2 linked regions of the Oryzias latipes genome follow. The protein of the gene in region 1 binds, or shares a complex with, the protein of each later gene. Links are inferred from orthologs where the notes say so. Each region holds a gene or a part of one and is shown on either strand. Other genes may lie near its edges. The genes, in order: kiaa0895l and tubulin alpha-1B chain.

Region 1 (3,043 bases):
TCAAAAATCTTTCTAACTTTGTCACCCACATTCACACTTAGGTGGACAGAGAACACTGGACCCTCTGTCTCAGCCTGAGGACCGATGACTGAAACTTCTGCTTTGTCTTGATTTGGCTGAATACAGACCAGCCTCTTATTTTTCTAAAGGGGAAAGGAGCCTTTGTGGCTCCTGCTGGGCTGTTCTGGGCTCTTTGAGTGTTGATGGTTGCAGACCCCTGATCCAGTTTTCTGCGTCAGAACACAGGAGGGAGCTTGTGGCCCCACCCAGCGTGGTTGCTATGTCACAAATACAATCTGCTTCAAACTGCTACTGATTGACAACAATTAGAATAAAGAAATACTCAGAAATACATTGTTTTTATTTCCTTCATCTATGTCCCGCATCATCAGAAAAATGTGCCTGTGTGTGTGTGTGTGCGTGTGTGTGTGTGTGTGTGTGTGTGCGTGTGTGTGCGTGTGCACAGGTTGCTTTAGCAAAGATCAGGTTTACCTGGATGGGATCCTGAGGATCCTGAGGCATCGAAGAAACATCGATTTCAAAATGCTGACCTCTCTAGGAAAGGTGAGTGTTAACATTCTTGTACCTGTAAATTGTCCCTGAACAGGTGTTTTTCTCATATTCACCTGCACAGGTGTCTGTATGTTGATCTTGCACAGTTGTTTTTCACATATTCACCTGCACAGGTGTCTGTATGTTGAACTTGCCGAGGTGTTGTATGTTGATCTTGCACAGTTGTTTTTCACATATTTACCTGCACAGGTGTCTTACGAGGATGTGGAGAGACTCCGTCCGTTTGCAGATCTTTCCCGGACCAGAATCCCTCACTTCATGCGGGACCCGGAAAAGTACCTTCATCACCTGGACCACATCGTCTCCATCAACGAGCTGGACGACTCAGTGCTGCAGCAGCTGCTCCCCTGAGACTCTGCCCCCCTAAGCCGGAGGACACCAACTATTGGTCGTGCTTTATAGGAGACTACTTGTGGTCAAACTTGAAGGGACAGGAGTCTGCGCTTCACTGCATGTTTGCTGCGTCCTGCTGCACACACGTACCTCAGACAGTAAAGGCCATCCATGTGCGCTTTTGTGTGCACTGCTTCAGTTTGCTTCACTGCTTCAGTTTGCTTCACTGCTTCACTCTGAGAGCTCATGATTGTCTCAGGTTTCAGCTTTATGTTGGATGCCTTAGAACAGGGGTGCCCAAATCCAGGCCCTCGAAGGCCGACCTCCTGCTGGTTTTCCAGGAATCCTGCCTTATTTGCTGCTGATTACCTGGACAGGTGTGTTTAGCCAATAAGGAGCTTCGATGGAAGGCTGCAGGATGCCGGCCCTCGGGGCCTGGATTTGGACGTCTCCGCCTTGGAACTTAAGTTTTATTACACGTTTGTAAAGAATCCTCACATATCAAGTGCCAGATGTCCACGAGTCTCACCTGAGCTTCAGGTAGTAAGTTGTGACCCCCCCCCCCTCCCCACCTCTGTCTAAAAATGTAGCTATCAGAAAAAGGGTGTGTGTGTGTGTGGGGGGGGGGGGGTAATGACAGTTAAAATCTTAAACTCCTCCTCCTGACTGAGAGTGACCCCCCCAACCCCACACTAGACATGGAAGTTACTGAGCATGCTCAGTTAGGTCTGAACAGCTGCCTTTAAAATATTCAACTTCTGATCATATGAGACCTTCTGGGGAATATCTGGAAAGTGAAGGTGAACCCCCCCCCCCGACCTGTCTCTCATCACCGACATTATGCAGCTGTTGGGGGGGGGGGGGGGGGGTCAGGTGTTGGGCCGTGCCTTTGCCGTGTGGATCTCGTCAGCTGCTGCTCTTTGCTGTGTTTCATACTGAAGATGATCTGCTTCAGAACCACGGACAGAAGGGGAGGGGGCACCGCAGCCCCCCACCCCCACCCCCACACACACACAGGTCAGGTCAACTTTCAATTTAAACAGTACTTCATGCACATACATGTGTTCCACTTCCGTTTGAAGATCCCTATAAGACAGACGCCGTTCAGAGTACTAACCACGGAATTTATGGTTTATTTATTGAACTGATGCTCAGATCTGTGTCACTTCCTGTATGCACTTCACGTGTGGTGGGCGGAGCTTGTTTCTCTTTGTGTTTTGTGTGACGCCGCTCCTCCTGCAGGTTCAGGTTCTGACTTCACTGCAAATGAAGGATCCTGGGAAAAGCTGGTTCTCTTAAGAGAACCCAGAGTTTCAGTGGATGGTCATTGGATGCTGCCCCCCCCTTCCCAGCGGGGGCCCAGGGTTCTCTGTAGACCCTGCTCTACCAAAAAAAGCATTCACATCTACTTCTTCAGCCTTTTGATCAGTCACTGTTTGAATGGCGAAGCAGCTTTAACCTCTGATGAGTGAACGGCGAACGGAGGATGTTTCTGTGTCACTGCTCCTTCTTTCTTTGTAATCTTGACCTGGATTGTCGGGCATGGCAGCTTTGCAGTGGTTTTTAAATAAACGTCTTTCATATTTGGACTCTTCTGGATCATTTCAAGTAATCAAGACGAGCAAGTAACAATAAAATAACAAAACAACTTTCAGTAATTTCACAACACAACAAATGTTTGGAGCATTCACTTTGGAGAGGATTCGGTTGGAGGCTGCATAACGTACGGTTCGGTTTCTGATCAATCACTGCTCACCGACGACGTCCAACTCCCAACATGGCGGCGTCCGTATTGCAAAACAAAAAATGGCGACTGAATTGAGTTTATTTGGTTGGAGCTGAAAGCAAACCATTTTCTACCCCTCTGGCTCCTCCCCATTGCTCTAATCGTAGGGGCATTTGGAGCTGAAGTGGTGTCCCAAAATGTTTTCTTTCAAGGGGGAGCCACACATGTAAGTAATGACTTTTTGTGTTTTAGCGTAACTTTTTAAAATAAGAAGACTTCTGTATTTCGAGCGCTGGCACCTGCGGCTAACGTAGATGACCGGCGACGACTGATGACATCATCAAGTGCTATTAACATCCGAATTCAAAGACATTCTGGTTGTGTCTGAATTCCTTCCCTACTCACTACATA
Region 2 (4,597 bases), on another chromosome or scaffold:
TAACTGGATTTTTTAAGCCATGAGGTGCACTTGAAATCCTTGAGTTTCTTCAAAAATAGAAAATCCACCTTATAATCAAATGCGCCTTATTTTTGTCTGTGCTTACTGACCTCCAGTTGATTTTTTTGTGGTACATGGTTATGGTATAAATTTATGGTGCACAAAAATCTGTCAAAATGTTTTAGTTTGACTTGTGATTCTGTCCTTCAGCCGTTAGTGAATGCATTGAGAAAAGTTTAGTCATTTTATTTTTGAGCTCTGTTTTTCCCCCAACTCTTTTCTGTTGTAAGGCGACATTGGGTGTCCAGAAAGGCGCCTGATAAATAAAAATAAAATAGTTATTTTTGTCTTTTGTTACCTTTTTGTCCTTGAATGCTTTTTAATTAATCGTTACTTTTAAACTTAAAAACTTGTACTTTTGTTTAACCAGAGAGCCTTCATGGAGGAGTGAAAGAGTCACGTGTGGCTTTGGAGCCACAGGTTGCAGACCCCTGATCTAAATGATTAATTTCTTTGCAAGACAGTTTTCACATCAGTGTCAGTATTATCAGGAGACGCTGATGATCAGTGTTTGAAATTATACATAAAGGCAAGAGTTTACAGTTAGAAATGAATGTATGAATGAATGTAATAATAAAGTATTGTGAGGCTTCACAAAAAAATTGAAAAATTTGTACCTGTTGTATTAAACCAGACTTAATTCCATAATGGTCAAGCAGAGTGACACTGAGACAATTAAAATGTGTTTTCTGTCTGTGGTCAGTCACTTTAAGCTTTTCTTAGTTTTTACTTTACCAAGCCAAAAAAAACAAAAAACCTTTTTCTTTGTAAACCCAAACACTTAATTATGGCCCGCAGCAGTCATAGTTTCATTTTGTGTTCTGAAGAACTGTCTTTACTTGGATTTTTGGAAACACCTCAACTGTCTGTCTTGATCAGCTAAAAGTGGATTTGTTTTTACCTGCTTATTAAGAGAGTGTGACTATTTTTAAGGCACATGGACCCAAGGTTCTATATTTTGTCCATCTTTTTTCAAACATTACATTTTTATTTTATGGTCCTATATCTGAGTGAAGCTGAGGCTGGTCCTCACAAATACTTCCTGTGAAAGCTAGAACTTTGTCTTTAATGCTCTGGTGGTTTTGATCATTTTTTTCTCAGTTCTAGGCAAACAAAATTACTGCAAGGCAAAAAAAAAAGAAAAACGACCATGGTACTGTGGTCTTAATGGTTTACATACAGTCCTTTGTAGTATTAATAGACCAGTTTTCAGAAAACATACTTCTAGACATATTTTTATTGCTTATCTTTGCTTGAGGCTCTCGTGTTCACTTGCATTGTAACGTACTTTTTCAAAAACATTGGTGGCTGTAGATGTTTTGTTCCACTTCTGAAGGTATTATAGTGTAAATCACTTGAAAATAACACAAGACTAATCAAATGTGTTGGAAATTGAATACGTTTTGAATAACAGTAATGACTAATCTATAGCTTGGATATTTAGAGAATGATTTAGGTAAGGGTAAGGTCAGACATTTTTTTCTCTTCTTCCAACAGAGTCCACGCATCTTTTCCTCTCCATGGGAGGATCGCCATGTTGCTTTATGATCTAAGGGGCGGGAAAATGAAGTCAGCATTCTGTCAGGGGGCGGGCTTTCCGTCGACGCTTAACCAATGAAAAAGCCGCTTCTTTGTGCCAAGAAGTTGATTGACAGAAAAACACACCAATAGTAAGAAAGTACCGTTGCAAGCGAATGTAAGCGTCTAACGTCTCCATCAACCGCGCCATTACCTCTTACATCGACCACATAACAGTCGAATCGTGAGATTCAGTTTCGAGGAAAATTCCTGCAAGCTGATCATTTCAACAAAGCAAAATGGTAAGATCTTTTAATACGTTTCTTTTCAATGTAGTGTCGAGTTTCTATTTACACGGATTTGACCCGGTTTTAAATAAATAATAAATGTACCAGAAAAAAACCAGTCAGTTTCCAGATATAAAACATGTCTGTTCTCCAAACAAGTTATGTCCTTTTTATGGTTTCTTTGTTTTAATAAAATTTTGTAAGAAGATGCAGAGATATTCTTGGCTCAGTGAACAAAAGTAGGATCATCATCATCATGCAGTCAGTTGAGCCGCATACTGCGGCATTTTCACTCCCGCCCATGCAACAAAGAAATGCCCGGATGTTAATTAAACGTTTCTGTTAAGCGGAAAAGCTGAGGATGGGAGGATTTACCTTACCCTCTGGCTTTAAGACATCTCGTATAATAACGAAAGTAGCAATTGCTGAAATTCGCTGCCATCATCATGGCGATTATTCTGATTAAATATGGATGACTCTGTAAGTAACAGACACCGACATATTGGAGGGTCTTTGGTTTTTCTCCCACTTCAACGTGGTATCTACAGCTCGCTCTACTGTTATTTTGAAAGTTTAAATACATTTCTTTAGACTTTGCTTAATAGTATCCCACTAGGGATTATTTTAAGACGGTTTTAAATGAATTTAAGGCTCGCCTGCACGGGGGCTTGTTGCCTGGCAACGGGGTTCTTTGTAGGAAGACAGTGCGCCTCTCTCTGGACAAAAAAAAAATTATCTTCTTCTGAAAAGAAAAAAAACGATGATGCATTTAAGAATTTGTAAACAATTATTTTAATGGTTGAAATTATACAAAAACATATTTTTATACTTAAACAACTATACCAACCTTTTTCCCTCCACAGCGTGAGTGTATTTCAGTGCATGTTGGTCAGGCCGGAGTCCAGATTGGCAATGCCTGCTGGGAACTCTACTGTCTGGAACATGGGATCCAGCCGGATGGCCAGATGCCCAGTGACAAAACCATTGGAGGAGGAGACGACTCATTCAACACCTTCTTTAGTGAAACTGGAGCTGGAAAGCACGTTCCCAGAGCTGTGTTTGTAGATCTGGAGCCCACGGTTATCGGTGAGCATCTCTTCCAGATGAACATGTTCTGATGAAGGTGCTGGAGTTTGTGAAAACTAAAGGGATTTGTCGTGTCGTCAGATGAGGTGCGCACTGGGACCTACAGGCAGCTGTTCCACCCTGAGCAGCTGATCACCGGGAAGGAGGATGCTGCCAACAACTACGCCCGTGGACACTACACCATCGGTAAAGAAATCATCGACCTGGTTCTGGACAGGATCCGGAAACTGGTGGGTACAATCAGAGCATGTGTTTGTGTTTGTCTCGTAGTGGTGCAATAACAGTATCTGGCATTTGTTTTCTTGTGTGTCTTCAGGCGGATCAGTGCACTGGTCTTCAGGGCTTCCTGGTGTTCCACAGCTTTGGTGGAGGCACTGGCTCTGGTTTCACCTCTCTGCTGATGGAGCGTCTGTCTGTGGACTATGGCAAGAAGTCCAAGCTGGAGTTCTCCATCTACCCAGCTCCTCAGGTGTCCACTGCTGTGGTGGAGCCCTACAACGCCATCCTGACCACCCACACCACCCTGGAGCACTCTGACTGTGCCTTCATGGTGGACAATGAGGCCATCTACGACATCTGCCGCAGGAACCTGGACATCGAGCGTCCCACCTACACCAACCTGAACAGGCTGATCAGCCAGATCGTGTCCTCCATCACTGCCTCTCTGCGCTTTGATGGTGCCCTCAATGTTGATCTGACAGAGTTCCAGACCAACCTGGTGCCATATCCACGTATCCACTTCCCTCTGGCCACCTACGCCCCCGTCATCTCTGCAGAGAAAGCTTACCATGAGCAGCTTTCAGTGGCTGAGATCACCAATGCCTGCTTTGAGCCGGCCAATCAGATGGTGAAGTGTGACCCCCGCCACGGAAAGTACATGGCTTGCTGTCTTCTGTATCGTGGTGACGTGGTGCCCAAAGATGTGAATGCAGCCATCGCCACCATCAAAACAAAACGCTCCATCCAGTTTGTGGACTGGTGTCCCACTGGCTTCAAGGTTGGCATCAACTACCAGCCGCCCACTGTAGTTCCTGGTGGAGACCTGGCCAAGGTCCAGAGGGCGGTGTGCATGCTGAGCAACACCACTGCTATTGCAGAGGCCTGGGCTCGGCTGGACCACAAGTTTGACCTGATGTACGCCAAGCGCGCCTTTGTTCACTGGTATGTGGGTGAGGGTATGGAGGAGGGAGAGTTCTCTGAGGCCAGAGAGGACATGGCGGCTCTGGAGAAGGATTATGAGGAGGTTGGAGTCGACTCCATTGAAGGTGAAGGAGAGGAGGAAGGAGAAGAGTATTAAACAAGGAGGAGGAATCAGTTACAGAGGAAGGAAATGGCTCAAGCATTCCAAAAAGATGTTTGTTGTTCTAGAAAATGTTAAGATGTTCAATGAAACCTCCTGAAAATGTCAAGATTCGGTTTGATATGAATAAAATCTGACATGTGTCATGCATTAAATTGTACATGGAGGTAATATAAAACTACAATAAAATCGGTTTCTCCATCAGAAAAAGGCCTCATTGTCTTTCATGTCTTTTTGCAATTAATTCTTATTTCTTTTACCAAAAAAAATGCAGTTTTAGCATTTTAGCTTCCACTGTTTTTTTTATTATGTAAAGCTTTTAAACTCTTCAGGTAAATTAGACTAG

What was found.
Region 2: the proteins of kiaa0895l (region 1) and tubulin alpha-1B chain are in contact, whole or in part, in a cryo-EM structure (PDB 7Z6S), measured with the Homo sapiens proteins. The link is inferred for Oryzias latipes from reciprocal best matches to the Homo sapiens genes MATCAP1 and TUBA1B. Residues at the interface, in NP_001035805.1 of Homo sapiens: Lys219, Cys220, Trp223, Val226, Arg227, Gly237, Glu238, Val239, Val240, Val241, Gln242, Leu243, Met253, Met254, Val255, Glu256, Asn257, Ser258, Arg259, Pro260, Thr261; in NP_006073.2 of Homo sapiens: Asp345, Trp346, Arg422, Glu423, Ala426, Ala427, Glu429, Lys430, Asp431, Glu433, Glu434, Val435, Gly436, Val437, Asp438, Ser439, Val440, Glu441.

The regions. Positions count from the first base shown.
Region 1 is NC_019861.2:3,745,746-3,748,788, forward strand, and holds the end of kiaa0895l (uncharacterized protein KIAA0895-like homolog), read left to right. Parts: intron 1-466; coding exon 467-564; intron 565-762; coding exon 763-924; 3' UTR 925-2,495; downstream 2,496-3,043. UniProt on the Homo sapiens protein: Tyrosine carboxypeptidase that removes the C-terminal tyrosine residue of alpha-tubulin, thereby regulating microtubule dynamics and function. Also able to remove the C-terminal phenylalanine residue of alpha-tubulin TUBA8.
Region 2 is NC_019865.2:25,869,860-25,874,456, reverse strand, and holds tubulin alpha-1B chain, read left to right. Parts: upstream 1-1,711; 5' UTR 1,712-1,877; coding exon 1,878-1,880; intron 1,881-2,728; coding exon 2,729-2,951; intron 2,952-3,032; coding exon 3,033-3,181; intron 3,182-3,267; coding exon 3,268-4,248; 3' UTR 4,249-4,461; downstream 4,462-4,597. UniProt on the Homo sapiens protein: Tubulin is the major constituent of microtubules, protein filaments consisting of alpha- and beta-tubulin heterodimers. Microtubules grow by the addition of GTP-tubulin dimers to the microtubule end, where a stabilizing cap forms.